Tamandua tetradactyla: one gene and its partners. The protein of the gene in region 2 purifies or fractionates together with the protein of the main gene of each other region. This does not show direct contact. Links are inferred from orthologs where the notes say so. Each region holds a gene or a part of one and is shown on either strand. Other genes may lie near its edges.

Region 1 (7,765 bases), on a different chromosome or scaffold from region 2:
TTTATAAGAGAACAGGGAGCTTCCAGCCAAAGAAGTAACCCATTATCAAGTCCAGTGTGAGACAAGTATATTTTCCCATGCTTTCACCTTTTCCTAGAAAGTCAGAAGCTTGATTATGAGGGGGAGCAAAAGAAGAAGAGATGGCAAACAAGGGAATAAGGGAATACCACTGGAGCCAAAACAATGTCAGGTGACACTTACCAACTTTACAGCAGGTACACCAGCAAGGGACAATTTATCGGAAGGGATAGTGCAATGTCAAGGCAGGGACTGACAAGCCAGCCTATCCGCCATCTCCAGTCACCACTTCTAAGGAAAACTCTACGCAAATCCAGGCTATAATTATCACATTTATTAATAACACTGTGGCTAACTGCCTATTAACTATGCAGTAGCCTTAGTCACCCCTTCACTCTTGAAGTCTTGTGATATGCATCATATAGGTACTGATATCCACTAAGGCTTCTTGCCAGGGAAACAGGAGCAAACCCCGATTCCCTGCCAGTGAACAGCGGCATCCGAGAACCCATCGCTGAGAGACCAGAAGTGGTTTCTGTGCATCCTGCCCCTAGGTTAATTTATTACGAAGGCATAGTTATTATCATCAACATAAACCGAGCACATTACCCATTTTATGGCCTTAAAAATTTGCCAGAATGATCTGTTTGTGAAAACATTTTATCTCAGTTTCATTTCCTCGCACCTGAGTGAGGCAACATGTTGTTCTCTTGGCTACATCCATGACTGTGAGCCGGTCGACCACGGGAGGATTATCGTGGAACACTCCACTCAGAGTGAGGGTCTCCTTCAAGCCTAAAGGCTCCAACTTATCAGCCATGACAACAAATGGGTGCTTCTTTTGGTTACTCAATAAACTTTAGAGTTCTCAAAGCCACGGGGCTGTCAGTGAATGTTATTTTTTTTTAATTATTTTCCATTTAACCAAAGGTAACAGTTTTGCGATCTTCGCTTTGTAAAATGCTCTGTTCCAAAAAGCAGAGTCCCAGCTAAAGTGGTTGTTTAGAATGCTTTTTACTTTTGTTCAATTAAAAAAAAAAACTGGTTTTATTGAAGGAAAAGGGGCAGAGAGAGAGAGGGCGAAACAAGGCATAGGGGGAGGATATGAAAATGTCTGAGGCATAAGAAGGGAGGAAAAAGGAAAAGAAAGCACAAGATATGTTAAAGTGTGTTTGTCTGGTACAGAACAAAGTTGGTTTTAAAATTCCTTCTTTTCAACTGAGGCAATTTATTGCAAGTATAAATAAATAAAACTTACTCTTATTGATGCTTTTAAAAAAATTTATTGTGGTAACATATATATAAGCTTTCCATTTTAACCTTACAAATTAGTGGTATTAATTGCATCCATGAAGTTTTGTGGCCCTCACCACCATCCATTACCAAAACTTTTCTATCATTCCAAACAGAAACCCTATATTGAATGAATTTTTGACAATGAAATGGCTAAGTAGCTATCAGGTATATCATGCATGGAATACCAGGTTATTGCATCATCTGGAGGGAGGAGGTTGGGAGATAATTACTGCTTTCAGTCAACCTTGGAGGTGTGCCCCAAGGAAAACTAAGGAAGAGGATAGAAAATCCGAACATATGAACCAGCTCATCAGATTCTGTGTCTCTATCTCCTACTAAAACTACAGCGAAGGGAAGTTTATTACAATCTGATAAACACAAAATACTTCCTTATTTAGAAGAAACTGGTATGCAGCTGGGCCTAACAGTACTTTTTATCAAGTCAAAAGAGATATTTTCAGTATAGTTCTTCAGAACGATTTTTTTTAAACAATGGGCCTTACCCAACTGAATAAAATAGGCTTAGTCTTCAATAAACTTATTCATGTGGTTTTCTTAAATTTCATACATCAATTTTATGATAGTGAAATTGAGTCAGACTCTCTCAATACTGAAGACAGAGATGACAGGTAACCTAACCTGAGCTTGTTGCTATTTCAATACCCTCAGAATTCCAACCACTTCTATGAATTCTGAGGTATGCCAGGCTTTCTTTTTAACTCTATCTGCATCCCCAAAGATATATTCTTCTCTTATCACACTATCTTCTTGTCATGTACTCGCTCTTTGTTCATGACCTACAGATCATTCGCTAAAGTCTATTGTAGCTTCCCAACAATGGAAAATCCTCAGAAGGGCTTCATAGATGAGGGAACCAAAAGCTTTGCTCAAGACCACCTAGTAAAATGATTGGAGACCTAGAACAGCTCCATTAACCATTTCTCAATTAGCTTCTATCAGCCACAGTGGCCCCATTTGTAAAATAAGAGTATTTAAATAGACAACTTCTAGGGCTTTGTGAGCAGTGACAGAAAAGAATTCTCTAACCTACCTGCTTTATTTCAAATAGAGGAAATCAAACCATAGACAGATTAACTTGCCCAAAGTTAATAACTATTAGGTCTTCCAATTTTCAATTCAGTGCTCTTTCTACTTCACTACACTTCCCACCATTAAATAAAATGTATTGCTAATACAACTTCACTAGGGTAAATAAGATGAATTTATGCCAATGGTTTCTTTCCATTAAATGCCATCCAGTATGAAATCTGAAAGTAAATGGCTCCCCATAATGCTGTTCTCATTCTGAAAAAGCTACCATAGAATGTTGGCAGAGTTTTTAACCAAAACACCTGGCCTCAGCCAATTAATGGTAACTGATAACAGCAAGTCATAATTAATTGATTTTTAAAGGGGATCCATCAGTTTCTGAGGAACATGAAAAACACTAACCAATACAAAAAATACACCTACATGGAAAAGATAATCACACCCCTTCTAAACACCCCTAAAATAACGATGAATAATTTAATGAGGTAAATTATATTACTGAAAAAATATGACCAGAAGTCTTTCAGAAAACCTTTGAGAATCCAAAATTTCCAACATTTTGGCTTCTTTAAGAACTCTAATAATGTGAAAGGTTTGGGTGGAATCTTCTCAATGAACAAATCAGACTTAAATTTATCCCAAACACTCATGGGGAGGTAATTATAGCCTTATTTCATGATGGTATATTTATTTTATCACCAAGTTGTAATGTAAAAAGCAATTACACAATTTTGCATGTGGTTCATAATTTAGATAGTCCACCCTTCTGTGTATGATGAAAACAAACAAGCAATGAAAAAAAAGTTCTTCTGTCATATTATGCCTTTTTAAATCCTCAGAGCACTCTATGAGTTGTCTGAAAAGGTTAAACCAGAAAATCAAGATAGTATGTCTCTGCTTTCACAATGAGATTCTCTCCTCAATGGGTAATTGTCCCGATGGCTCAAGATTTTTATGCTTCTTGCACTGTGTGGGGTAGGCAGAATTTTTGTCCTGTGGCTTTTCAGACAAATAATCATAAATATGCACTCACCCCTTCAGCTAGCAGGCATCACATCCATCCATTCATGGCTGACAGCAGATCGGAGAAGGGATCACCATTGCCCAAATGTTTTGTTCGGAAACTGGAATTGTCAGCAAAAGCTCCTGGAACACTGCAACACAAAAATATTTTTTACCCATAACTAAGATGTAACTTCTAAAACCACCACTTCCTTAATCTTGAAAACAGCAAGACAGACATATAGCCTAGAGGTAGGGGAAAACACCCTTCAAGCAAGGGTATGTCAATATACAAGTGTGATGCTGTAAAATATGAACCGGAAATATTGCTTTGAAAGACATGTTTACCAACTGCTTCAACAAATACACCAAACGGTTGCTAGTTATTATAAACTTTGTACCAAAGATTTAAAATATTTTAGCATTACAAAACATCACACCCTACTAAAAAGTGTTCAGCTAATGCGAAACTGTTTTAACGCAAATCTTAAGTGGAGAAATGAACCATTTCCTATTAAGTAAAGGTCTCTTCCAGAGAATGAAAATACATATGACAATATTAAATAATAATGATTTAAGATGTCCAAAGTACACACAGTACTAAGATTTAAAAAAAAAAAGAACATTAAAACCAGTAAAGGAGATACACATAATTATTTTTTTCTCCCCAAATAATATTTCATTCTAAACACGGTTATGAAATACATAAGGAGCAATACTCATGGAAATATATTCATTAAGAAAGAACCCACTGTGTAATACACAGGCCTCAAAGCTGAGAAGCCTGAATCTGGGACCTGGGTATTATCACTAATCAGCTGTGTGGCCCCAGGAGAGCCATTTAACATCTCTGGTCTCCAGCCTCTTCATTCACAAGGTCAGGACATTAGCTATGCTCTCCCAGTCCCTTCCACTTTCAAGCTTCTCTGTATTTTTTCACAGAGCTTACATATTCTAAATAACTAAAACTATTAACTTCTCTTTTCCTGTTTAAAAGGTCATTTTTTGTTTTTGTTTTTTAATCACAAATCATTCTTAAGCCAAACTGCCATCAACATCAAAGATATGCTGTGGCAGAGAGCTCTGCAGATTCCGAAAATTTTCACTCTGGCATCAGTGCTCAACCCTTAGCAGCTTACAGCATCCCCTGGGTGCCCACGTATTACTCTTCAGAGAGCACAGATCCAAATCCTATGAAAATCTGTCTGAATGCATTCTAGATCAGTGCTTCTCGATGTTTAGTGTGCATAAGAATTACCTGGAAAGCTTCTTAGAATCCAGATTCCTGGGCCCTGGCCCAAGAGCTTCTGACTCAATAGGGTCTGGAGTAGGACTTGAGATCCTACATTTCCAACAAGTTTCCAGGGGATGCTGATGCTGCCAACATCTTTGAGTCCAAATGACAAAGCCCCATTCTCCAAACCCCAGAGAGAACCAGGAAGCACTCCCCAAGGCTCAGAGAGGTCCCCCACAAAGCTACAGGGTCTACACTGCATGGCAAAAAGAAAAGGGGCAAGGCTGCTCACTGTCTACAGGACAAAATCCAAACTTCTTTCCTTGGCCTAGAAGGCCCTGCATAATCTAGCACTCTGCTTCTCTGAGATCACCTCAAACCACTAACCCAACCCCCAACTACAGAACAGATCCAGTGACCTTCTTTTCATTCTAGCAAGCCAAGAGTTGTCCTGTCTCAGCGCCAGTACACCTGTACCTCAGCGACATAGAATGCCAGGAAGCTAGTCCTACACAACGGGCTCTTTCTCACCATTGGGTATTAGGGACAAAGGCCACTTCAAGAGGCCTTCTATCCTGAGCAGTTATTTAAGCGAGGGCCCCAAAGTTTCTCTCAAGTATATCGTTCTACTCGTTTACTCCACAGTTCTTGTCAAAATCAGAAACACTTTTTCTTACTTATTCTCTGGAAGATAAGGGATAAGAGGTGGAGATAAGGGATGTGATGGTTCATTACATGTATCAGTTTGGCTGGAGTGCAGTGTCCAGTTGTTTGGTCAAACACTAGTCTGGGTGTTGCCGTGAAGGTATTTTGTAGATATGGTTAACACCCACAATCAGTTGACAAAGTAGAGGTGACTATGCTAGATAACATAGGTAGTCATCAATCAGCTGAAAATCATAAGGGCAAAAACTTGGGTTTCCTGGACAAGAAATTCTGCATCAAGACAAGAACATAATGAAGCCCCATTCTCTAAACCCAGTCAGCCTTCAGACCCAGGAAGTGTCACCAAGGCTCCGAAAGGCCCCCCAAAAGCTACAGGGTCTACCTTAGCACAGCAAAAAGAAATGAGGTAAGGCTGCTCACCATCTTCAGGATAAAATACAAACATCTGCCTGAGTTTCCAGCTTGTTGGCCTTCCCTACAGATTATGGACTTGCCACCCCCACAATCACATGGGCCAATTCCTCAAAATAAATCTCTTAAAATATACCCACATATCCTATTGGTTCTGTTTCTCTGGAGAACCCAACCCTGACTGATGCAAGGGAACTTCCCTCTTTCTATTCATCACGGTGTCCCAAAACGTTAAAAAAATGCCTGGCTCACTTGATACATATTTATAGAATGAACAAATGAATCAACAACTAAAAGAACAAAGTTCTTCAGCATCCTATAAAAACATAATTGCCATTTACTGAAAACTCACCAAGACCTGGATTTTGTTTTAAACAATTTACAATAGTTATTTTATTGTATCATATTCTTGCAACAAAGGCCCTGGTAGACACTATTATTATAAGCTCAATTTGAAGATAAATTGACTCACAGATAGGAACTTGCCCAAGATCACACAGTAGCAGAGGCTGACTGTATAAAGCTCGTGCTCGTAAGAGCAGCATGTTTTTCAGGCCAATACAGACATTTTGAGCGCCTACACTGTACAAGAGACCCTTCGCACTCCAGCTTGTGCAAGTGAGTTCTGGCTGTGAGACCTTGTACAGGACACTAAACCTCTCTGAGCACAAGTGCCTTTGTTCTCACAGAAAGGGCTAAACTAAGGCAGGTATCCCCATCTCAAATGCCCACATGACCGGCCAGATAAGCCATACCAGTGAAGCAGGCCAGGAGTCAGGTAACAACAAAAGGTGAAGAATGTGGGAACGAGTAGGCCCCAGTTTCCCTGCCACAGGGGACAGCCCCAGAGCCTCGCCAGCCAGTCAGCGCCATGTAGGGACACAGGGCTTCTCAAGCTTTCAGTTCTACAAATACAGCCAGTAATCCCTATTTCTATTTTGTGAAATGTCATGTTTTGCAAAGATGGTGGCTAATTTTTAATAGTTTATATTAAAAAAGAAACAACAAAAAACCTTGCAAGCCCTGAACCAAGTGATGGCTTAGAGCATTCCAGTCTCCAGTTCTATGATCCTAGCACATTTAGAAGCACCGAGGAGCTGTACAAGTGAGCAGAGGAACGCGCGGCAGGCATCGGGACCAACGGGAGCTCCGTCAAGAGGAAGTATCTCGAGCGGTTTTGAAAGGAATTGGAAGACAGGGTGGAGAAGGTCCTCCACAAGGTAGGAGCAGAAGTAAGAGGGCTGAGCTGGTGGGAGACTTCATGCGGGAGCTTACTTTTCATTCAGGATTGGAATAGCCCCACAGGTGTCACAGCTAAGACATAAGTTAGCTAAACAATGCTTTAAGAGTATGACCTTCACTGCTGTCTTACTTAGTTTCCTATTGCATGAAAGTAACCAGGCATATCAAAAAATAAAGGCAGGATCACCACTGTGGTTTACGGGGAAAAAAAAATTCTATTTTTGTGTGTGTGTTTGTTATGAGTTCAGCAGACCCAGAGCTGAATTCCATCTCCACCAAGCTCTATAACTTTGGCCAAAATTCCCTCTGAGCTCTAGAAATGAAAAACACAGCAAGTAAAATAAAGAACAGAAGAGAAGATAAATATCCAAATAAATTATCCAAATAAGCATCCCAGAGATAAAACCTGTCCACCTAGAACTGCATACTATAAAAAACTAACTTTCAGAAATGAGAGTAAAATAAAGATCTTTTCAGACAAACAGAAGTTTATCATCTCTCTAAAGAACATTGTAAAAGATGAGTTCAGGCCCACAGGAGATAATTTCAGGAAGAAGGTTCTCTAACATCCGAAGGAAAGGGGAAGCCAAAATAATAGAGAGCTTGTGGGTAAATGAAAAGTAAATTCAGTAGCAAAACAAGGCACAGGCCTCAAAAAAATTAAAAAAAAAAAAAAAAAAAATCCAACCCATCCCTGTTCTCTTCCCAGCTCACCTATCATTTACATGGCAGCACCATCAATCACCAAGGCCATAGTTTGCAAGCATCATTGTGCAACTGAAACATCAGCCTGAAATGCAAATTCCTGACTCTCAGTCCAGAGATTCCTAATCAGGTCCCAGGAAT
Region 2 (7,913 bases):
GGGGGGGAGGCTGCGGAGGGGGGGAGGCTGGGGGGGAGACTGCTGGGGGGAGACTGGGGGAGACTGCTGGTGGGGGAGGGATGGGGGAAGACAGTTGGGGAGAGACTGCTGGCGGGGAGAGGCTGGGGGGAGATACTGAGAGGGGAGACTGTTGAGGGGAAGATACGGGGGGGGGGAGATTGGTGGGACTCTGCCTGGGGGGGAAACTGGGGGGGAAGACTGCTGGGGGGGGAGACTGCTGGTAGGGAGGCTGAGGGGGGAGACTGCCGGGGGAGACTGCCAGGGGCACGTCCCCAGGCCCTCCTCTCAAACACTGGACCGCTCACCATGAGCACAGACTGCCGGACACTTGGCAAAGTCGTCACTGTTGAAGAGGGTCCTGGGTCCTGGCCGGAAACCAGGCTGCGGGGGCGGGGTTCCCCAGCAGGAGAGAACGGGGACGGGGAGGTAGAGAGAGGGAGGGAGCTGCAGGGCGGAGGGTTACAGCTTCTGCAGCCCCCAATCTCCCCAGGCACGGCCACCTCCAGGCCCACGGCCTGACCCTGGAGGGCGGCGGCCACGGAGGGAAACCCCAGAAAGCTAGACGTGTTTGGCTTCCCTGTGGCAAGAGTGACAGCCCAGCTCAGCCGCAGGGCCACGGCCACAGCCAGGGCCGCCCACGGGTTCCCTGTCCCTCCTGGGGCGGCCCTTCTTCCAGCAGGCAGCAAAGGGTTAAGCAGGTCCCCAGGCAAAGGCCGGGCTGGGCACCCTGCCAGGGAAGGTTCCAGTCTCCAAGCCTCCGGCTCAGGTGCGGCCCCCTCCCCCGGCTCCCGCCTGACCTTGCCGCTGCGGGCACAGGGAGGGGCCGAGGAGGGGGCAGCCGAGGCGGGCGGGCCAGGCAGGACCCGGGGACGCTCCACCCCGGAAGTGCTCCTGCCACGAGGAAGGCCACGCTGCGGGGACGCGACCAGGAACTGCAAAATGGCCACGGAGGGCCGTGCGCAAGTGACAAAGTGGCCTGGGTGAGGGCCGCTCAGAGCAAGGCCTGCATTCGCCTGGGCCTGGAGCCGAAGGGCCCTGCGCTGGCGCTCGGATGCCAGGAGGGGAGACCAAGGTGCCTCGTGATGCACAGACTCTGTGTCGCTGGGGTGCCCGCGGGGGTGCCCCAGCAGCGGCCCCTCCACCCACGGGGGGACACGGACACACCCCACACACCCACGTCGCAGGGCCAATGCCTGGGCCTTCCAGCCGGCAGCACAGAGGGAACGGCTGCCCTCCCGCCCGCCGGACAGCTGCGTCCTAATTTTACACACACAAACCGGGGACAAAAAAATTCAAAGCAAGAGGCCTAAGGGCAAAGCTGGGCTGCGGTGCGACAGCGGCAGCCTGGGGTCACCTCCCTTAACCTGAGGGCCGGCCGCCTCGCCTTCGGACGTCACAGAGGCCCGGGTCGGCCAGCAGCCCCCACCCCCACCCACAGGAAACGGGCGGGGGGCAGTGCTGGGCCAACACACTCGCGACCGCCTTCTGACTCCCACCCCTGGTCACACACAGTAAACATCCCCAGGCGGAGGGAGAGCTGTCTCCTTCTTGCAAAGCAAGTCGATGGGTGAACCGGCTGCTTGCGCGCCGCAGAAGCACCAAAAGCACACCCCAGCATGCTCCAAACACAACGGACGCCAACCCGGGCTCCGGGACAGAAAGGCGACTTAAACAGAGCAGGAGGCTCCGGGACAGGAAGGCGACTTAAACAGAGCAGGAGGCTCCGGGACAGGAAGGCGACTTAAACAGAGCAGGAGGCTCCGGGACAGGAAGGCGACTTAAACAGAGCAGGAGGCTCCAGGACAGGAAGGCGACTTAAACAGAGCAGGAGGCTCTGCTGACCGCCCAACGAGGCCAGCCCGGCTCCAGCAGGGACCGGTCGGGGCAACTCACAGGCTGACATCCAGGACGGGGGTGGGGGGCGAGGATGGGGGGCAGATCTAAGATGAAACGCAGCTCTGAGGGTCCAGTGGGACCTGGGACTGGGGGTCAAATGGGCTGGGCCAAAAAACTGCAGGCCAGGTTCTGGAGGTCCAACAAGCCTGGAACCGGGTAGGCCCAGGTCTGAAGGTATGGTAGGACCTGCGTCTGGGGGTCTGATGAGGTTAGGGTGCAGAGCTGCAGGCCAGATCTGGGGGTCTGATGGGACCCGGCAGTAGGGTTGTGGGCTGGATCTGGGGGTCCACCCAGCCAGCTGTAGGACTGGGGCTATGAGAGGGCTGGGCTGCAGGGCAGCAACTCTGGGTCTGGGGTTCGATGTGACCTGGGTCTGGGGATCCAATGGGGCCCCGCCGGACATCAGGGTCTGAGGACACTGGGTCTGAGGGGACCGGGCCACAGGATCGTGGGCCAGATCTGGGGATCCCAAGGCAACCCGGATCTGGGGGTCCGAGGGGACCGGGTCTGGGGGTCTGAGGGGACCGGGTCTGGGGGTCCGAGGGGACCGGGTCTGGGGATCTGAGGGACTCAGGAATGGGGGTCCGAGGGGACCGGGTGCAGGGTCATGGGCCAGATCAGCGGATCCAATGGGACCAGGTCTGGGGGTCCAAGGGAACCGGGTTTGGGAGTCGGAGGGGGCCGGGCCGCAGGGTCGTGGGCTGGAACTGGGGATCCCAGGGGACCGGGACTGGGGGTCCGAGGAGACCCGGGTCTGGGAGTCCGAGAGGACCAGGCCGCAGGGCCGTGGGCCGGGTCTCGGGTCCAAGGAGACCGGGTCTGTGGGTCCGAGGAGAACCGGGTCTGGGGGTCCGAGGGAACCGGGACTGGAGGTCCGAGAAGACGGGTCTGGGGGTGCAAAGGGACGGCTCTGGGGTCCGAGGGGACCCGGATCTGGGTGTCGGACGACAGCCGGGTCTGGGGTCCGACGGCCGGCGCGCCCGGCTGCCCCTCCCGCCGCGCCGGCCCCTTTGTGTCACCTGCGCCGACCCGGCCGGGCGTGACGGCGGCTCCGCGCACGCGCACTCAGCAGCCCGCGCCCGCGCCCGCGCGCGGCCCCGCCCCCGGCCGGCGGGCGCGCACGCGCACTCGCACACAAAGCGGCGCCCGCGGCGCGCGCTCGGCCCGCCCCCGCGCCCCCCGCCCGCCGGCCGTTCCCCGCCCCCCGCGCCGCCGCCCCCCGCCGGCCGGAAGCGCGGCCCGCTCACCGAGAGGCAGGCCCTTGTTGAGCAAGTGCGAGCTGCCCATTGAAAGGCGCGGGCGGCCGCGGCCCCGACGAGTGCGGCGCGCTCCGCCGAGCCCGGCGCCTGGGCCCTGCGCCGTCCGCTGCTCCGCCCGCCTGCGCCCGGGGCCGCCGAGCCGATCGCGCCGCGCCGCGCCGAGCAGCCGCCTCCGAGCGGGCGGGGACGCAGAGCGGCGGCGGCGCGCGGCGGCGGGCGGGGCTTGCGCGGCCGCATTAATCTCGTGTTTCCAGGCGAGCGCGCCGCGCCGGACCGACGCGGGCGGCTGCAGGGCGCGCCCGCCGGCCCCGCCCTGGCCTGGCAGCGACGCCGCCCTCCCGCCCCGGGATGCGGGGGGCGCGGAGCGGGGGATGCGGGCCCGGGGGATGCGGGGGGAGCGGAGCGGGGGATGCGGGGGGCTCAGAGCCGGGGGATCCGGGGCTGGGGGATGCAGGCAAGGGGCCGGGGGGCGCGGAGCCGGGGAACGCGGAGCTGGGGATGCGGGCAAGGGGTCCGGGGGGAGCGGAGCCAGGGTACGCGGGGCTGGGGGGTGCGAGTGGCACGGTGCCGGGGGATGCGGGGCTGGGGGATGCGGGCAAGGGCCCAGGGGGCGTGGAGCCGGGGGACCGGGGGCTGGGGGGTGCAGGCAAGGGGTCGGGGGATGCAGGACCCAGGGATGCGGGGCTGGGGGATGCGGGCAAGGGGCCGGGGGTCGCGGAGCTGGGGATGCGGGCAAGGGCCCCGGGGGGGCGTGGAGCCAGGGTGCGCGGGACTGGGGGGTGCGGGTGGCACGGTGCCGGGGGATGCGGGGCTGGGGGATGAGGGGAGGGGCGCGGAGTCGGGGGATGCCGGGCTGGAGGATGCAGGCAAGGGCCTGGGGGCCGCGGAGCTGGGGAACAAGGGACCAGAGCCTGGGGCCTGGGGTCAAGGGGCGGGAGGGGGGACGGGGCGCGGGGCCGGAGAGACAGGAGGGCGCAGGGCGGCCCGAGGACACCCCTGCGGGCGCGACAGAGAAAGCCCGGCCAGCCCCGGGCTTGGTGCGCGGCGGCCCGGACCCGGGGAAGGCAGCAGGGCCTCCTTTCGCCTTATCTCCCCCAGCACAGGGCTGGGCCGGGTTGTGAGGCGCCGACGCCTGCCACCAGAGCCCGCCTAGGGCACTCACGGGGAAGGCCCTGTTGGCACCTGCAAAGCGGCCTGCACACCTGGGCGCAGGCACGTCGGCCCGGGCGGGGCTCACCGCGGCACCCGCCGGCTCTGGCCCAGTCCCGAGATAGCTGGGAAGGTTCATCAATAGAGCAACCCAGGGGCAGCGTGTCACTGGAGGCGCATTAACTTCTACCTGCTCCTGAGGCCTGCCCCTACCTGCGCCTGCTTCAAGGTGTGCTGCTGGCAAAGGGGCAGCGGTGATTCCACCCCCACCCCCTTAACTTCTGGGCATGGCCTGTCCCCTGCTCCCTACACAAGCAAACAGCTTCCTCCCCCTCAGGCTCATTTACGAACCCAAAAGGATCATTTAAGTCAGAAATTCCACAGATGGAGAAACACATGCGTGTGTGTGCACATGTGGGGACATAAACCTAAGTTGCAACATTTGCTTCCAAACCTCTGCTTTGTTGCACTTGGCTAATGGGCGGCCTTCAAAGTCGCCAACCTCAGCCTTCCAGAATCTGCGGCTTCTGGGACTTTCCGCCGTGGACGCCCCTGCGGGCCTGGGAGCCCACCGTCCTTGGAGGAGCTGTGCCCAGGCCCTCTGTGCACACGCAGTCCCCCATCCAAGCCCTCAAGAGGCCACTCCCCTTGTCTCCCTGCTCTCCGCCCCTCACCTGCCCCTGTCACAGGCCACTCCCGCTGTGGGGCCGGCCACCTCCTGCCCCTGTGTCCGCCATGCCCCCTGGGGCGACTCCCAGTGTCCCCGTGGCCGCCTGCCTGCTGCCCAGAGCCTGCCACAGCACTGGAGAGCCTTCCCGGAGGCAGGAAAGTTCATTCAACGAATGAACTACATTATATTAGGAAAAGCTGTCCCACTCACAGTGCCAATAAATCAAACATCCACACGTGGCCCATCAACACGTGAAGGGTCTAGTTTAAAAGGCTGTGAAACCTATTGAGAGGTAAGGTTGGCGTCATTGGCCTGAAATAGAAACAATATTCTCAGGATATCCATTTTTCTCCAAGTTTAGAAGAAATTTCAGTTAAAATTCCAATTGAATTTCCTTTCAAATTTGACTAGATTATTCTAAATTCAACTGGAAGAATCGCTAGATGAAACCGTAAAGGAACAAGAGATGCCAGGAGGCTAGGCTCACTGGAGAATAACTTAGGAAGCCCCATCATTAGATCCCATCAGCACAGGCCCAAACCCATGGCCAGTCCAGGGTGCCCAGCAGGGGGACCTGAAGCCATCCCAGCTCTCTGTACACTTTCAGACTCAACCAGTGGGCACGCCTGCGGGCACCCAATAAAGGAGGGCAGGGAACTGGGAGTGTATTTACGAAACAAGCACTTCTAACCCATACCTGGGACCTAATATGAACAAAGAGTTGCATGCCCCTAGGGGGGCTGTGAGCGTCCGGCTGACCTCGCGGGGAACTCTGTCACTGCAGAGCAGAGGGGCTGCTCGGGACAGACCCGCTGACCCGACACCCCCCCCCCCCCAGCGCTGCCCCTTCCCACGCCCCCTTCCCAGGCAGCCGCTTACTCTCAGAACTTGGTCCAAAATCAGAGCCCTTGGCCCAGCCAGGCCGCTTCCTCCCTTGTCCCGCCCGTCCCTGTGCTGCCACCTCCAGAAGACCGGGTCCCCTTGACAACCGCTGTTCCCACACCCCTCCATCCTGGGAGGGGCCCTAAATGCAAACCTGTCATCCCCTGCCCCAAATCCTTTAGGGCGTGCCACTGTGCTCTGCAGGAAACACAAGTTTCTTATCCCAGGTAGGGTCCTGGCACCCAGGCCTCCCCAGTGTTCCCCTAACCTGTCTCCCCTCCACCCACCACGCTCCAGCAGTGCCCCAAAACCCCTGTCCCACCATGCGGCCTCTCTCCCCTCCCACCCCAGGGCCTTTGCACGTGCTGTCTCCACTGCCTTTCCATGTCCACCTTCTCCTTACCCTCAGCCTAATATAAGACTGACCTTCCATCTGGACTTCCTTCTTGCTGCACTGCCAGCCCCTGTGGCACGGGGTCCTGTTGCTCCCGTCTCCCTGCTCCCCCCACCCCGCCATGTATTTGAGGTGGGGCCCTGCTCAGTAGGGACGTGGGAATTGATCCACCATTCTGAATGTGCCTGGCCCTTTAGCATCTTCTCAATCCTCTGGATGGGCCAGGGGCACCGAGGCCACAGGCCCTGCTTGGGGAGAGGGTCGGCCATCCACCCCAATGCCCCCACGCGCCCCTCCATGGCCCTTGACATCCCAAATCACCTTCAGAGAACTGGCCTGCAGAGCCCAAGGCGTGCATCTTCGCCCTGTCCCAGCTGTCCCCGCTCTGGCTGTAGCCCCCACCCACCCCAAGCCCATCGGTGGTCCCTGCCCCGGTCCCACCTCCCACCATGCCCACCCTGCTTGGCCGAGCCCAGCCGGCCGTCCTGGTGAAGCTCCCCGCCGCCCCGAAGAAAACTCAGGGCCTGGAAGGACAGGCCGCGGGGACCCTCCAACCCTTCCATCTTCAACTTTGTAGCCAGGAGCATCCCAGCAACGGCCCCATCCCCCACTGAAGCAAACCAAACTCTGCCGACTACAGAAGACGCTTTGTGGACCAAGGAAGAGGGTCAGAAATGGGCTTCTCCTGTAGGAGAGAGCGGGGCACCAGCCTGGGCGCCGGGGTTTGCCCTCTGCCACCTGAGCTGGTTTCCTAAGGAAGGACAGCTCTTCCAATGCCCAATATCGATATTTTACTTCTCTCCTTGAACAGTAGACGATCCTTAGGCTCTTGGTTCTTTTGAACTACGCTGAAACGCTGCTCCAGTAGTCAGTTAGTATGAAGACCCGATGATGCTTACGTCTTAGGAGCTGCTGTCAGGCCCTGACGGGGTCAGGCTCAGTGGACTTGGGGGAGCCTGGTCACCCCGCTGCCGCCGAGAGGGGCCACCAGGGCGCAGACTCCGAGTGCATGGAAGTGTCCGCCCCGCGCTGCGTCAGCCTGCACTCACGGCCGGGTCCTCACTTCCCACTCGGCCATGTCAGGGGGCTGCAGGGTTCCCTGGCACTCCAGGCCTCGGGGAGGAGGAGGCCCAGGGGGACCCCCAAAAAATAAACACGTGAAAGTGTTTCATTTTTTAAATTCTATCCAGTATTTAAGAGCAGACCAGCTCTGGGGAGACGGCTGCAAAGGAAGCTCCAGTCCTTCCGGGAAGGCGGCTCTTGGGCTGGCAGGACTGTCTGAATCGACTGCTGGGGAATGGAGAGGACACTGCAGTGGCCGGAGGGCAGGAGGGAGAGCCCGGTATACTGCAGAAAATCCGGTGGCCCTTATCCTCCCTGCAGCGGTCGCCAGCCCCAGCCCCAGCCCGCTGGCACGCAGCAGAGGGGGTAGCCGCCCGGGCTTCGGGTGCACCTGTGGGAGCTGGCGGGGGGGGGGGGGGGGGGGCCCGGCTTGAAGGCCCACTCCTGCAGACTCTGGGGGTACGCTCTGATTGCTGGCCACTGCTTGGGGTCAGCTACTTTGGATCCAAGGGTGGCCACTGTTCCCTTCTCCCTTATGCTGTCAGGATGCTCTGTGCTCCTGGCAGTCGGTTTAGAAGGT
Region 3 (7,659 bases), on a different chromosome or scaffold from region 2:
TTTAGGTTGATTGTAGAGTTCTGGTAACTGATGGTGGTGATGGTAGCACAACATCATGAATGTAATTCACAGCACTGAATTACAGACGTGAATGTGGTTAAAAAGGGAAATTAAAGGTTGTATGTTACCAGAATAAAAGTTATATTAAAAAAATAGGACCTACCAGAGACCAGCAAGAGTTAGAAACAGGTAAGATAATGGGTAATTGGAGCTGAAGGGATACAGACTGTGCAACAGGACTAGATACAAAAACTCAAAAATGGACAGCACAATAATACCTAATTGTAATGTAATTATGTTAAAACACTGAATGAAGCTGCATCTGAGCTATAATTTTGTTTGTTTGTTTGTTTGTTCATGTCTTTTGTTTTTTTCTTTTTCCTTTTCTTTTTTTTATTATTATTTTTATTTTTTTCTCTATATTAACTCTATATCTTTTTGTTGTTTTGCTAGTTCTTTTCCTAAATCGATGCAAATGTACTAAGAAATGATGATCATGCATCTATGTGATGATGTTAAGAATTACTGATTGCATATGTAAAATGGAATGATTTCTAAATGTTGTGTTAATTTCTTTTTTTTTCTTTAATTAATAAAAAAAAAAAAATAGGACCGTACAATACAAACAGTGAACCCTACTGCAAACGATGGACTATACATAATGGAACAATTATGAAAATATTCTTCTATGAATTGAAACAAATACACCATACTAATGCAAGGCGTTAATAATAGGATGGTATATGTGAACTCTGTATTTTATGCATGACTTTTTGGTAAGCCTACAACTTCTATAATTAAAATAATAGAAAATAAAAAGACAGAACTTGAAAAGAAGCCTTCAGACTCTAAATCCAAGGAAACGTATTTTCTACAACACTGCCTGGATCCTTGCTAGGTTCACCCTTACTCTCAGAGTCTTACTAAAAAGGAAGGGTATGTTATGCTTCTATATATGATGTCAGATTAAGCAGTTCTTCAGTGACTTGCCAAATGGAAAAATAAGTCTCCTGTTATTATCATCTAATGAAAAAAGAAGTGTACTCTCTATCCCACTGGTCTTGCATAAGATAATGTATGTTTTTTTCCCTAGTATCTACTTATGAATTTTAAGAGTTCTCTTGATAAATAATACATAATGCATTCTCCTGGGCAGAGAAAATTCCTAATGGGACAATTATATCTAAGGTAATTTATAGGACATGTTTTAAGCCACTCCAAATCTGTCTAACGTCGCTGAAAAGGTATGTGAACAGGAATAGCATCTAAGAATTTGCAAATAAAAGAGAAACAAAAATAAGGTTACTGAGATTTTTAGAAGTGACAAGAATACTGGCATATTTTTCTCAAAAGTCTAGCAGTACTTATAATAATCTATAGAAATCTATTTCTACTTCTCCTGATACCGTGGTAGTCTAATTTCTGACCATATCTCCTGTTTTAGTAGAGTAAAATAAGGAGTGATCCCCTTAATACTAGTTTCCTCTCCTTCCAAAATAGCCTGGACACTAGTTGTATTCAAGCAGAATTAGCTTTAAAAAAAAAAAAAGCACAGCTCTGATCATCTTGTCCTTTGCTCAAAAACCTTTGATGAGTCTCCACAGCCCACAGTAGAAAAGTAATTACTACTTTTCTAAGTAGAAAAAAAAATTACTCAAAATGTCATAGTAAAGCATTACATTTTCTGATACTGATAACTTTTCCAACCTTACCTTCGTGATTATAAAGGGCCTGCTGCAGAATTTGGAATTTGGGAGGGACCAGCACACATTCACGTGACAATGAGCAGGACAGACCTGAGAAGAAAGAAGGCTGCCAAGTTTAAGAAGGTGCCATGAAATAGTTCGAATGCCAGAGTGAGAATGTGAGCCAAGTACGTAGCTATGTCAGCAGGATAAGGGGAAAAAGTTCAAGAGATATTTCAAGGGCAGATGGAACAGATAATGGTATCAGATAGGAGTGGTGAGGAAGAAAGAAGAATCAAGGATAATAGGAAGATTTTTAGCTTGGGAAACTGCAGAACCATTAACGAGATACAGGCTTTCGTAGTGAGAAAGGTGTGTAGGGTATGGTATGTTCAGTATTGGAAGTGGTTCATTTAAGAATTTAGCAATGCATCTTACGCAGTTAGCCATGAAGATTTGGGAATCACTTGGCATGGGCTTGGTAGTTAAAGCCAAAGCAGTAGGCAAGCTCACTGCAAAAGATCAGTAAGTGAGACCAAGGCTGAAATAACCCTCAAGTATTCCCTATTATTCTCCATCTTTCAAAAATTTACATTTTGTTTGAAGTTACCAGTTGGTTTCTCAACACCCAGACTACAGACTGCTAAAATTAGGAGGCCTGCCTCACTCATCCTTGAATTCCCACAGAGACTAGCCAAGGTGTTTCCACATTGTGGTAGCTAAGGTGTTTTAGGGAGAGAAAAGACCACTCTTATTAGTCCTTGGGAGAGGTGGTCAGAAACAGGTCCTGGTGCTCAGTATCTGACCATTTAATCCTTCTGTTCTTAATCTTCTCTAAAGACATCCACCGTGAGAATCAAAGGGCTTAGGTGACCTGGTGCATTTCCAGCAGGCTTACACAGAGGTACCTACGCCTATTAGTTTCTCTAGGTTTCTAAGTTTATTGCGTCTGCATTATAAAAAAAAAAAGTTTCAAATTCTTTACATTTAATTTGAGGGGGGAAAAAAAGAAACGTAAAAACACAAGTTCACAAAAATCCGTTTATCCATAGAAAATTATAACTACATCCTTCCAGGCTTTTTTCTATGCACCGGTTTTAGTTGTTAATGCCTTTCAATTACATTGCATAATTTTATCACTTTTTTTTTTCCACTTAACATCATACGTTAGCATTTTCTCATACTACTTAAAATTTTTATAAAGTACACTTAGAGGTCAATATTCCCTTAGTGAAATGACGTAATTTACTGACCTACTCCTCCCCATGGGGCACGCGGGCTGGAGCCCACTTTATTCTATTATGAATAACGGTGTGACGGAGGCCCGTGCTCTTTACAGGCTGCCCGCCTTCTTTAGGAAGTGTTGCTTCAAAAGACACCAGCGGTCTCCACGTCTAAATCCGCGCCCGGCGTCCTCGCCCTCCTGCTCCTCACACGCGGGACCGCCACCGTCTCCGCACTCCCGAGCCCCCGCTCTCCCCACACGCCGGTCCCTCCGCCCACCCGCAGCCACCCCACACCGGCCAGACCCCGCAGCAGTGGACAAAGTACCTGGGTCTCACTGCCCCACCGAAGGCCAGTCTCCCCAAAGCGCCCCACCTCACCAGCCCGCCGACCCGAGGCCCCCACAGGTACCGGAAGCATCGGCCCCTAGTCCTCTGATAGGCCAGCGATGGCTGGGCGACCTCCACAATGCCCCTGCCTATTGGCTATCGTGTATGTCAAGTTAAGAGGGCGTCCTTCTTCCCAACCAATAAGCTGGGGCTCTGTCGCACGGATCTCTGGGAGTTGTAGTCCCTACTAAGGTCCACGGACCGTAAGCCAGGCACAATTTCTCCCTAGTTTCACCTGTTTAGCCCCGTCCCCCTCTTTCTGTCCGCCCTCTTAGTCTAAGGAGTACGGGAACCATAGCATCAACCACGGTTTCTCATCTTTGTTTTTTTTTTTTGGGGGGGGGGGGGGAGGTAAGGAGGTGAGACTCGAGGACCTCTTTAATTTATGGTAAAATACCCCGTCAATGCCAATGTTATGTATACACGAAATACAGTGCATTCAGTTGAAGCGGCTCCCTGGACCTGCGGCAGTCACAGATCCTGCTCTACCCAAAAGGTGCCTGCGTGTGATCACAACCCAAGGAGCTGGCAGTGCAGCCCGGGCTCCTTTCTTCAGACCAGCTCCACTCCTGGGAGAGTCTGGGCCGTGCGCAGGAGACTTTCAGGTCTGGACCCCATGGAAGGCTGACCTTCATCTTTCTTGAGCTTGGAACAACCCAGAGTCCTTCAGGGATGCTGACACCCTGAAGCCTCTGACCTAACCGCCTGGGGTGGGGGAGAAGATGGGGGAAGGACACCTCGAGGGCCCACTCTGGGCACCTTTTCGCCCCAAGCCCATCTTCCAGTGCCACGCGGCAGAGTCATACACCTTCACAGCAGTTTTCGGAACAGTGCAGGGAAGAATGAGAAAAAAGAGAGATTGTTTTAGCGTCCATTCGTCCTTCAAGCACATGCTACCCCCTCCCAAAAATTCTTTCCAGATTCCCGAATCCCTTTTGGGTTGAGATGAAGGGTCTCGGACTAACCGCTCAAGGCGCTGTGCCTGTCAGTGTCCCCCCGCCGGTCACAGGCTCAGCAACTCGAGGACAGCGGTCCTGCTTAATTCAAGTGGTATCCGCAGGCAACACTTTCCCTGGAAAAGAGGGCCCTCAATAAGTGTGTGTGAAGCCTAAGTACACAAAATGGTGAACGGAGGATTAGGGAGCGTGGGGGAAGGTCAGCAGCGCCTGGTGCCCCCTTAGACACCCCCCCGCCTCACCCCCTCTAGGGTCGGTGCCTTCCAAGCGCGCCCACAGCTCTTAGCACCCAGGCCAGGGAGCACATCTAATTAAAGCGTTGCTTAAATTGCCGGCTTGCTCGCCTGGTTTCCAGGACCCGGGAGACTACCCAGAATTTAGCACACAGTAGGTGCTAAATAAATAGCTATTGACTGGACCCGCGGCGGGGTGCGGAGGGCGCGTTCCTGCCCCACTGCCTGCTGCCTCCCTCTCCGGCCTCCCGGCCGGCGGGTTCCTGCCGGTCAGCGGGCGGGGCAGGGGAGCAGCCCTGCAGGGTCCCTACCCGGGCCCCTCCCCGGCCGACCCCACCTCGCCGCGCGGCTCCGCCCCGCCGCCCGCGCCCCGGCCGCCCCTCCCCGCGCGGGGCCCGACTCCAGCCGCACCTCCTCGGGCTCTGCAGTGGCGGCGGGGAGGCGAGCCGGAGACTCCGCCAGCGGGGCCGGGCCGGGGCCGGGGCAGCAGCGGGGACCCCCGGAGGCGGGGCCTGCGGGACCGCGATGGGCGTGGAGATCGAGACCATCTCCCCCGGAGACGGTACCGGGCGGCGGCGCGGGGGCCGGGCAGGGGTCCCGGGGCGGAGCCGGGCGGGCGGGGGCTGCTTCGGAGGTGGCACCCGGAGCGCCGCGGCACGGGGCGGGGGTCCGGGGTGGGGACGGCGGGAGGAGACCCCGGACGGGATTCCTAGGGGTCTGGAAGACCGTCTGCCGCCATCCCCTTCCTCGCGCGCCCACTTAGTGCAGAGACCGGGGGGTCTGCGCCCGGCGGCCGCCCTGGAAGTCCCCGACGGACCCGCTGGGTTATCCGTCGCTACTGATTTTGCAGGGCTCGGTTATCCGCCCAGCAGAGCCCTGGAAAGCGGGGGAGGGACCTGCTCTGGAAACGACCCCCTCCGAACGCGCTCCAGGCCGGGCCTCGGGGGGCGGGCTCCTGCGCCTGGGCACCGGGAGCCAGCCGGGGACGCGAGCAGCGCTCCGCCGCCGCCCCTGCACCGAACTGTCTTCTCCCCGCCCCATTCACCTTCCTGCGGGTCTTGCCCACTGCCGTGGCTCTTATTATCATCTGCAAACCTATGGCTCCCAAACGTAAACCTCCAGCCCAGACCTCCGACTTGAGTTCCAGGGTTCCGGGTGTCCAGCCGCTGCGCGACCTCCCACCTGGGTGACCAGGGACACCTCCCAGTCGGCAAGTCCACGCACAACTCAGGCACCCCACCCCCGTCCCTCAAGCACGGCCTTTTTCTGCGTTCCCTCCTCCCAGCCTCGCTTCCCCAAGCCAGGCACCCAAGGAAGGAGTCATCCTTGTATGATTGGGCCTGGGTGTGCAAGAAATAGCCATTTCTTTCGTTTTTAAATACGATTTCATTCCGAGTGGATCAGCCATGGTGTAGGGTTTGACACAAACTTTCCCACGAATAATTATGGAACACTGCTCCCCCCAGGAAATGTGGAGGGCCTCTTGGTTCCAGGCCACCCCCACCCCTTGTTCTATGGTAGTGGTCTCTAGAAGCCCCCGCGGGTACCTTGGAGCGCAGTGGGTTACACGCTTCTTTGTCCACCATGAGACCCCTGGTGCCTGGGCCCCAGGAAGCATTTCCCAGGGCCTAGCGGCCCACCCCAGGGCACAGCCAGAGAGTTTTTCCCTGGGGCCTCTTCTCTCTGCCTTTAGAGGCTTCTCTCTTTATTCTCCCTCCTTGGTCAGGGACAAGGGGGTATTTCTCTTCTGGAGGGGAATCAGATTTTTAGGGAAAGCCTAAGAAGAGCTGTGGCTTCCTGCTGTCAGCCCTGTCTAAACCCTTGACTCAGGGAAGCACGAAAGGGTCAGGAGGGAAAAATCTGAGTTAATGTTTCCACAAATCTGCTGCTATGCTGGGGACGCCTGCCTTTGGTAGCAGTTGTCTTCTTGCTTATTGTGTCTAGGCTCCATGACCCCAGCCCTGCCCTAGGTCAGGCCACCATCAGCTCTCACCTGGATTTCTCCACAGCCTCCAAACTGGTCTCCCTGTCTTAATCTCACTTCCTGGCTTTAGGGCTCACCTCCCTGCCTTCATCTGGCCTCCTCCCACCCTCTCTGTCTACACCAGGGCCTCAGAGCGTTTGTTACACTGCATATCTGACCATGCCCCTCCCCCAGGCATCACATATTTTAAAGTCTCTTCAGTCCCTTCTCCAGGCAAGCTGGGCCTTGGTGATGTGGCCTCTTAGCCTCTCCACCAGCACGTCATGTCACCACCTATCCCTGCTCTCATTACCAGGGTTTTCTCCAGTTTGACCAAGCTGCCTGAATGTTGCTAGCCACACCATTCATTCAGCAAATACGTGTTACACATTTGCAGCGCACAGGGCCCTGGCGTTGTAGCCATGACCCTAGCTCACCAGTTCCTTATCTCAGATGATCTCCCTTTACTTCCTCTGGCAAACTCCTACTCATCTTTTAGGGCCCGGCTTAAGCATTATCTCCTCTACGATGCTCTCCCTCACTCTCCCAGTTGGTTACTTGCTCCCTACTCTGTGCTTTCTTGGAGTACCCTAAATGCTTGGTCGTTAGCCTTTCTAGGCTTTGTTTTCCAGCCCCTGGCCTTTAAATTCCACCCCAACTTTTATCTCCAGTGCAGACCCTCCATCTGCCTACCTCCTACCTGCCTACCTATAGACTCGCATCTCTTGATTGCCACCTGCACAAATCTGGGTCCCTCCCATCTTCCCTGTCCCAGGAAATAGCTCTACTGCCCACTCAGTTGCCCAAACTGTGAACCCAGGCCTGGTTCTTGTTTTCTCCTTTTCCAGCATCCTGGACCCCACATCCAATCCATTAGCCTGCGTGTCAGCTTCGCTTCCAGAATATATCTTCACTCTACTACACTCTGCTTTACTCTTTCCTCTGCTACCACTGCCTTAATTCAAGTCATTATTGATTTCCTGGTCTGGATCATTGCAACAAATGCCTAGCCATCCACCCTGAACACAGCAGTCAGCCAGAGCAATCTTATAAGATAAGTAAATAAATAAATAAAACCTTCCTTCAGATTATGTCATTCTGTTGCTTAAAACCCTCCAGTAACTTCCATTGCACTTAGAAGTAAATCCAGTTCTTTTTCCCTCCTTTCCCCTCCCCACCCACTTCTTTCCAATCGCCTGGCCTCCTTTA
Region 4 (8,015 bases), on a different chromosome or scaffold from region 2:
CCGCTGCTGCTGCGGGGATGTGCCCATCGCCCTAGACCAGTGCGCGCGCGCGAGTGTGTGTTTCTCTCCAATAATATCAGACAAAAGCGGGCAGTTTTCACATTTATTTGAAGCCTGCGTGTTTTGTCTCGAGGCTTATCGGACTTGTCCAAACTTTTGTGAGTGTGTGTGTGATTGTGCGCGTGTCTCTACCCTCCTCTCGCCCTCCCTCGGCCGTGCAGGGCGAAGTAGTCCTATATAGCGATGATAAATATCCCTGTTGATCACTTGATTGATTACCTCCCTGAAAGGTCACGCGGGCTCTCAGTAATTTCCTTTTGCCTAAGGCTCCCTTTTCACTTTTACTCCGGCACGACAGCTCCGAGTACATGGGATCTTTATTTTTTATTTTAACCCCTAAATGCAACCCCTCCCGAAAACAATGCAGACAAGAAAAATCGAATAAAATCAACTCGAGACCTTTTCGCTCAGCTCACTCGCAGGCGCCCTCCCCTCTCGCTCCTTTCTTTATTCCCGTCCCGCCCCCTCCTTTTCCGACCCACTCTCCCCAACTCAGATGTATTCTGGACACTATTTAATAGACGAGTGTCTTGCAAGTAAACTCAGGCGTCCCTTGGGTCTGCATTTCATATCTGTGACTCTCTCCCTTTCTCTCCTGTGGACTGAAAATTCGGATTTAAACCACTAGACAAGCTATTAATTTAGCTAGGCTACCCAGGGTCCTGAACCCAATTAATTTCTAATAATTATAGCCCAAGGGGGCTAGATAGATCTCCCTGACTCTTTCTTTTATTGCCACTCCACGCCACCGAGGTCAGCATATAATAATAAAGTGTATATTTTGAAAGCGATCGCCAGAACAGTGAGTTATTGCAATGAATGAAAATTGTTTCCATTTTGGCTAATTGAGCTGGTGGCCGAAAGCTGGAGCTCTGAGACTAAATAAAGAGGACTGTTTCATTTCAACATGAAGAAACCCCTGCCTAGCTCTGGTCACCCAGTGAGAGTTTAATTTCTTAACAGCCACCCTGAAACCCAGCGTTGGGTAAACAGTATTAATAATTGCATTACAATGATTAAATTAATCTCGCTGGTAGCCAGGAGAATATAGGTTGCGATTGAATGGAACGATGTAAAGTTCACTGCACAAAGACAATAGGCCAAGAAATACCTTCATAAAGAATTCAAACTTTCTTCCAAAGATACTGTGGGGTTGGTTCAATTATAATGCTAGAAAAAGAAAATTTCCTGTTGCATGGAATGTGTTGAAATTCGGTTCTTTGCCGTTTCTAGGATTAATTCAAGAGGCAACCAGAGAAGGGGTGTGCGTCTCTCCTCCCCTAAAATTAACCAATTTCTCCCGTCTCCCATCTCGATCTCCCTGGAACAAACAAATGAACAACAACAAAAAAAAGTAAAAAAGAAAAAAAAGAAAGAAATGCACCCCCCTCCCCGAAAAAAAAATTGGCAATAATAAAAGAAGCAAACCCAAACAGCTCATAAACTCGTTCGATTTTTCCAATGAGGCACGCCCGCTTCCGTGGGACGAAGCTTGTGAAAACACCGGGACCCGTGCAACTGCCCCTCCAAGAAAAACGAATTTCAGGAGGAGAGAGAAGGGCGGGCAGTGGGGGCAGCGCGGGCAGCCCGGCGGCTCTGCCAACTTGTGGACGGCCTCTTTTCTCTTGGGCCAGCGACACTTTAGACGACCCGTCAGAGGGTTTCTGGAACTCCGCGGGGCGGTTGAGCAGAAAGTCACCTGCTCGGGTCCCACGGCTGGGACCTGGGGCAGGTGGGACTGACGGGATCCAGGCTCTTGGGAACGGGAACCGGCCAGGGCCGGGCCGTGGGGGCGCGGGCAGTACCCGCGGGGAGCGCGGCCGGGCTGCTGCTGGGCGTTTGCTCCATCAGGTTAAACACACTTGAACCAGCCATTTAGCTTTTTATTGACACACATACACAGAAAAAGCAACCGGCAAAGAAAGAAAGAAAGAAAGAAAAAGGCAGGGGAGGAAAAAAAAAGGAAAAGAAACACAGGTTTCGAGTTTGGAAAAACAAAGGGGGGTGGTGGTGGTAACGTGAATACTTTTATTAAATAAAAAAGTAAGCTTTGTCTCTTCACAATATCCTGACCAGGGCGGGGGCGGGGGTGATCAGAGGAGTTTGCTTTGATTTCAGTTACCAGGGGCTGAGCGCCCTCGGCAGCTCTCCCCTCCAAACCGGGTAGGAACCCGACAGCTATTAATGGGGTTCGGAAATGCTTGGAAAGAGCAGACAGGAAGATGCCAGCGCAGACACGACACTCACCCCACGAACTTTCAGAAACAGGAGGATGCCCGTGCCTCCCCTCCACACACCCCCTCCACGTCTTCTAGAAGTTTGAAAGACAGGGACTTTTAAATTGGGGGGACAGGAAAACTCTGATTCGGTTCTCTTCGGTCTTTCACCTCCCACCAAGTTCCCTTCACACACCCACCCCACCCCCTAGTCCGCCACGTGGTCTGTCATTTCTCAGGAGAACCAATTCCTGTTTCACTTGTGGGTCTTTTATTTTAATCTCTGGGTTTGGGTCAATGGTCCCTTAGTTCTCTCGAAAATTCCCCGCCATTTCTCTTAATCCCCCCCCCCCCCCCGGTACCTAGATGTAGACAGACCCCCTGGGGATGAAATGAAAGGAATTAACGGGAGGAGTGGAGCGCAAGACCGAAACTCTAACTTTCTCTCTTTTTCAATAATTCTCAGAGGTCAGAAGGTGAAATGAAATGTCCCAGGTTGAGGTGCGGAGCCTCTTCCTAGCCAGGGCGCTGCGCATGTGCCTGGACCCCGGGCCCTGCTAACTCCAGCTCCCTCCTTGGGGACCTAGGCTGTAATCCTTAGACGCCTTCTCAATTTCGACAACCCGGAAGGGCCGGTCCCCGGGTCGCTGACCCTCGGTCCTGTGGCCTAGGCGACCGTCCCCAAACAGCATTGATCAGACGCTGCCTCAGAACTGCTTGCTCACCAGCTTGGCGTGTTTCTCTCTCCTAGAGATTTTGCTCCTTTTGGGAAGCTGAGCCTCCATTTCCCCCTTTACTGGCCAGTAAAGCCATTCCTCCATCTAACCTGAACGGGGCTAACAGATTTAAATTTTTGGAGTCAAATGCCGGTGGAAACCCACAACCAGAAGGTTGTAGTAGCAAGTATTTTTATTATTATTTTTTTTATTGTACATGCCAATGTGTAAGCACACCCACCTGGACGCATTTGGCAAGAGGAACTGCAGAGGGGCTAGAAAAACCCACGTGCCTCTCTAGTCCAGAGGGGATGATAGAATTCTCTCGTAACATGTGCTTGGGCACCAGAGCCTTCTCCATTGGAAGTTATTTCCCTCCTGCTCTCTGTAATTCCCTCCTCCGCCTCCCCCTTCCCTTCCTCACATTTCAACATTGCAAATCTGTCTCCCTTGGGACCTGTAGCGTGGCTCTCCAGAGACCTGTATCCTACAGCCAAATGCCCCTGGAATTACGCAGTTCTGGAGAAAGAAAAAAATGGTGGGCATCCTTAGCAGAGCAGCCAAAGTTCAAAGACCAGAGAATCCTTTGAACTTTGGTTTCCTGGAATAAAGATATTTGCGGGACATCAATGCCCTTTCATGCTGGATCTTTCTACCTGTTCTTCTCACACCTCCAGTCCTAGTTTTTCCAATAAATGCCGATATAAAACAACTGGGTTTTCTCAAAGATCCCCCTTGCCCTCCCCTGCCTTCGACAAACTCATATCCAGGATCTACTTTTCTTTTTCCCTTTCCTTCAACTTGAACATCCAGGATGTATTGTCCTAGTAAGGAGGCTGAAAAGATTGTAATTTTCTTTTATGGTGTCTGTCAGGATTTGCAACAGATATTAATGGGGACATAAATAGCACATGGAAGGTATTGAACAAAACTGTTTAATGCAAGAAGGTTGTACCAGGAGAAAATCTATACTTAGTTGGAATTAATTCATACCTTGAATACAGCTTGCCCCTTTAGAAGTTCCCCATTTCTGTGTTCCCACTTCCACTGGTAAATCCTGTAATTAAAGCGAATTTCAACAATGTCTTTTTTAAGGGCAGGGGGAGGAAAAAGTTCCCCCTCCTCCTCCTTGTGACCCCGGAGATTGTAGGGTTCCAGCGAATGAGTGAAAATGGCAGACAGGCAGAGCTGCAGCAGAAGGCGACAGGGGCAGCGATGGCAGAGGCCGGAAGGTGACACCGGACCTCGGGGAAGGCAGAAGGTCTTGGATGTCAAATGCCCGCGCCTGCCCGGACGTTGAGATCAAGAGTGGTCACTGCTGCTTGGTGGGAATAGACCACTAAAATGTTCCAAGGACGACAGCAAGCGTTGGTATTATACCTAAAACCCAGAAACATTTATTTATTCTGCTTCCATCTCTGAAAGCGGAAGCCACAATAGCTTTAGTAGCAGCAGCAGTACTAGCAGATTTCCCGGAGTTCAGGATGAGTCCCACTTTCTCCTGGGCCATTTGCGGAGGGTTCAGCCCTTCTCCTAGTTCTTACGTATGGGAAAGATTTTTAAAGTTTTTTTTTTCTCTTCCTGCACTTCTTACGTTCTCCCATAGATGGTACAGATAATTTTCTGCAATTTATGGCGGGGGAAAAATAATAATAGTAATGATACAGGCTTGGCTTATCGGTGATTCCAACACGTAAGCCTCTGTCAGAGCCTTCTCATTCCTTCCCTTTTTTGGGGGGGGGGGGCTCGAGGTGTCGGCTCCCCTCCGGCTACCCGCGCCCGCTCCCCGCCCCCCGCCGCCCTCCCCACGGCTCCCTTTCTCCGCCTCCTCGGCGATTGCCATCTGACAAGATCTCCAAATCAAAGTGATAAATCGCTCCAAACTTTTTTTGGCGGCGCTGAGATGTTGGAGGGGCGTCTAGCGCGCATGTGCGAAGGTGTCCAAACTGACAATGCTGGAGAGATAGCGAGTGTGGATTGAGAGAAAAGGAGAGAGGGAGGGAGAGAGAGAAAGAGGGAAAGACAGAGAGTGAGTGCGTGGAAGTGTGTGTGTGTGTGTGTGTGTATGAGAGAGAGAGTGAGAGAGGGAGGGAGCGAGAGGGAGAGCAAAAGAAGGAAAAGATCCAAGAAAAAAAAACCCCAACCACACACCAGCGGCTGCAGGACTGGGCACAGCATGAGATCCAAAGGCAGGGCAAGGAAACTGGCCACAAGTAGGTGCAATATCCCTTTTCTATTGGCTTTCCCCCCTCCTCTGCCATCTTGCATATCTGTCTCCAGCGCTCCGGGAGGGAGCGCGGGGCTGCGTGTCGCGCGGGGCCCGGGGTGGAGGGGAGGTACAGCGCAGCCCCAGCAACCTGCCGGTCCCTGCCGCCGCCGCCGCGCCCGCCCGCCCGCACTCTCGCTTCTGGTTTGGGAGCCGGAGGTGCGGGGGCTGCGCTCAACCCTGCGCACCGACCAGCTGTGGCAGCCCCGGGGTGGGGGTGGGGGTGGGGGCAGCAAAGACGGGGTGGGAGGGAGAAGAGCGCGAGAGCAAGCGGGAAGGGGTTGGGGGGGGAGGGAGAGGAGAAGGGAGAGCGTCTCCCCCTTCCCTCCCCTCCCCCCAGACGGGGGAGAGTCGCTTCTGGCCAACCAGCTAGTCCCGAGTGTGGGAGGAGGGGGGGTGGGAGCGAGAGATGGGGGGGGACGCGAGGGGGCGGGCAGGGGAAAGTAGCATTTTTGAGCCTCGGTTTGTTTCTGGGGTTTCGGGTGGTGGCAGGCTGGGAAGCAGCCACAGTGGCGGCGGCGACAGGCGGCCAGCAGTGGAGTTGGGAAAAGTTGCAAGGCGGCCGCTGGAAGTTGCGCGGGCCGGCGGGCTGCGCCGAGCCGCGCGGGTGCTGTAGTGGGCGCTGTGAGCTCGGCTGTGGCTCTCCCGCGTGCGCCGCGCGGCTGGAGAACTGAGGCGGGGTGGGGGGTGGGGGGTGGGGGTAGAGTGGAGGGAGATGCGGGAGGGGGGCTGTAATGTGTGTGGGGGGTCATCTGCAGAATAGAGCCACTGGCTCCTCCGAGTCGCGGGCAGGTGAGAGAGCAGAGGCCCAGTGAGCGCGTGGAGAGCGGGGCGCGGAGGGCGCGCACCCAGCAACTACAGCCGCCGAGGAGAAAGGGCCGAGCGCGCGCGCTGGGGCCGGCAAGCCCCGGGCTGGCTGGACGCCGAGCGACCCCCAGGGGGCGGGCTGCGGGAACGCGGGGCTGTGCAGAGGGCGCGGCGGAGCCTCGGCTCTTCCTCTAGGCGCAGCCCCCCGGGCCCGGGTCGCTTACCCTCCCCGGCGCCCCCTGCCTGCCCGGCGCGGAGCGAGCGGCCTTGGTCACGCCGGGACCGGGCCTATTGGGTACGGGGTGGGGCCGGCGGGACCCCCATTCCGGACCCTTTTTCTCCAAAAGTGGTGGGTGTACCGACCGGCTTGGCGGGCTGAACTGCTACTGTGCGAGATGGCGCGGGCCTCAGCCTGGACTGGAGGCGACCGGGATGGGTCTGTCCAGATGCTTCGACCTCAAGTGCAAGGGGACTCGCGGCGCCGAGACCCGAGCGGCCCTGAGCGCTCCCGCACTGGGGATCGGCACGCGGGGTGGCCGCTGCGGCGGGAGACTACCCGCAGCCGCTCACTCTACACACGCCGGCGGCCGCCGCAAACAGAGCTCTCTAATTGTTTTGTCGGTGGAGTAGAGCCGGGAAAGATGGAGGGTGGGATGCAGCTCCCCAGAGAAACTTCCAGGCTTCCCCCTCCTCCCTTGTACTTGAGAACCAAAATCTGGCGCTCCCACCCCCTCCTAGCGTCCCGCGGCGGCGACCCAGCGGCTGGCCGGGTATAGCGGGCGGTGGGAATCCGCACTCCAGCCTAGCGCTCTGCCGGGCTCGTAAGCGCTTTTCCTGGCCTCGGCCAAGCACTCCCTTCATGTCCAGAAACTTGTCTTTCGCCCGGGTCTTAGGGATCCACCTAAGTGTGGGGCTTCTAGGGTCATCAGTTCATTTATTTCTTTCTCTTTGGGATGTTGGTCATTTCACTTCGCTGCGGCAGTGTCAAAGCGCGCCAGTGCAGCTCTTTTTTCCTGTTTGGTTTTCATAGGAGGCCGCTGTTTTTATTTTCATCCGAGGGGGGGGAAATGTCTATATGCTTGGAAGCCGGGGGGCTTCAATTCCCACTAAAGGTTTGTAGAGGGGGTGGGGGGTGGCGTGGGGGGCTGGGGTGTGTGCGTGGGGGGGGCGTGTTTCACCCCTGCCTCAATTGTGTGAAATGAAAGCCGAAGGCTTCGCGCGCCTGATTGCCCAGTATCCGCCGAAGTGAAAGCAGAACACAAACCCCTTAGAATTTTCTCGAGCAACTTTTCCAACTGTTTAAATTGCCAAATGTACGCTGCTGAGATGAAAATATCTCTCCCGCACAGCTCCCTCCATATTCCTCTTCAATCCGAGTCCCGAGCGTTTCTGATCGGATACTTGTCATTCATTTGATGGAAGACCCGTTTATTTTGTGTCGGTCTCTGAGGAGGCCACTGTCGCTTTCTGATGGCTAAATCAGGACACTTACAAACTTTTCTTGCTGAGCTTCAGGTTCCGGCTTGCGTTGCTCCAGTTGTGGCCGCCGCAGCTGACTTTTCTCAGACAGAAGCGGTGCTTTCTGCAATTCTTCAGTTACAATCTGGGTAATAAAGGAATCATATTAAAACCATGCTTTTTTTTTTTTTTTTTGTATTTTAAAGCGCTATTTCCTTTCCTCGAGTGGCACGCGAGTTTCCTAGCGCGTGGTGGAGATGGTAGGTGACCCCTGTGGTGCAACCGTGTAACGAAAACTTCGCCTCTCCGCCTGTACCGGTTCTTTCTTTTGCTGGGTTAGAAAGGGTCAGCCTACTTTAAAAAATAAACTCTACCTTTTTCGTTGCAAAAGTAAACAGTGGAAACAAGTCACGTAGAAACGGTTGTTTTCTCGGTGGCTTGTTATTCTTTTTGCCATTTGTAAAATTCCACGTAGCCGTAAGTCCTGACTCG

The links.
Region 1: the proteins of CTBP1 (region 2) and FOXP1 purify together in Homo sapiens (affinity purification with western blotting; 3 studies listed by BioGRID and IntAct, with this or other methods). This does not show direct contact. The link is inferred for Tamandua tetradactyla from reciprocal best matches to the Homo sapiens genes CTBP1 and FOXP1.
Region 3: the proteins of CTBP1 (region 2) and WDCP purify together in Homo sapiens (affinity purification with mass spectrometry; 3 studies listed by BioGRID and IntAct, counting the BioPlex papers as one, with this or other methods). This does not show direct contact. The link is inferred for Tamandua tetradactyla from reciprocal best matches to the Homo sapiens genes CTBP1 and WDCP.
Region 4: the proteins of CTBP1 (region 2) and MECOM purify together in Homo sapiens (affinity purification with mass spectrometry; 6 studies listed by BioGRID and IntAct, counting the BioPlex papers as one, with this or other methods). This does not show direct contact. The link is inferred for Tamandua tetradactyla from reciprocal best matches to the Homo sapiens genes CTBP1 and MECOM.

Annotation. Positions count from the first base shown.
Region 1 is NC_135341.1:12,429,900-12,437,664, reverse strand, and holds the start of FOXP1 (forkhead box protein P1), read right to left. Parts: upstream 3,416-7,765; 5' UTR 3,398-3,415; intron 1-3,397. UniProt on the Homo sapiens protein: Transcriptional repressor. Can act with CTBP1 to synergistically repress transcription but CTPBP1 is not essential. Plays an important role in the specification and differentiation of lung epithelium.
Region 2 is NC_135345.1:920,016-927,928, forward strand, and holds the start of CTBP1 (C-terminal-binding protein 1), read right to left. Parts: upstream 3,255-7,913; 5' UTR 3,205-3,254; coding exon 3,165-3,204; intron 2,966-3,164; exon of another isoform or gene 2,937-2,965; intron 1-2,936. UniProt on the Homo sapiens protein: Corepressor targeting diverse transcription regulators such as GLIS2 or BCL6. Has dehydrogenase activity. Involved in controlling the equilibrium between tubular and stacked structures in the Golgi complex.
Region 3 is NC_135329.1:7,218,101-7,225,759, forward strand, and holds the start of WDCP (WD repeat and coiled-coil-containing protein), read right to left. Parts: upstream 3,330-7,659; 5' UTR 3,237-3,329; intron 3,052-3,236; exon of another isoform or gene 2,939-3,051; intron 1,797-2,938; exon of another isoform or gene 1,713-1,796; intron 1-1,712. Other genes in the region: peptidyl-prolyl cis-trans isomerase FKBP1B, read left to right, coding at 5,013-5,049.
Region 4 is NC_135331.1:66,880,200-66,888,214, reverse strand, and holds the start of MECOM (histone-lysine N-methyltransferase MECOM), read left to right. Parts: upstream 1-4,890; 5' UTR 4,891-5,057; coding exon 5,058-5,205; intron 5,206-8,015.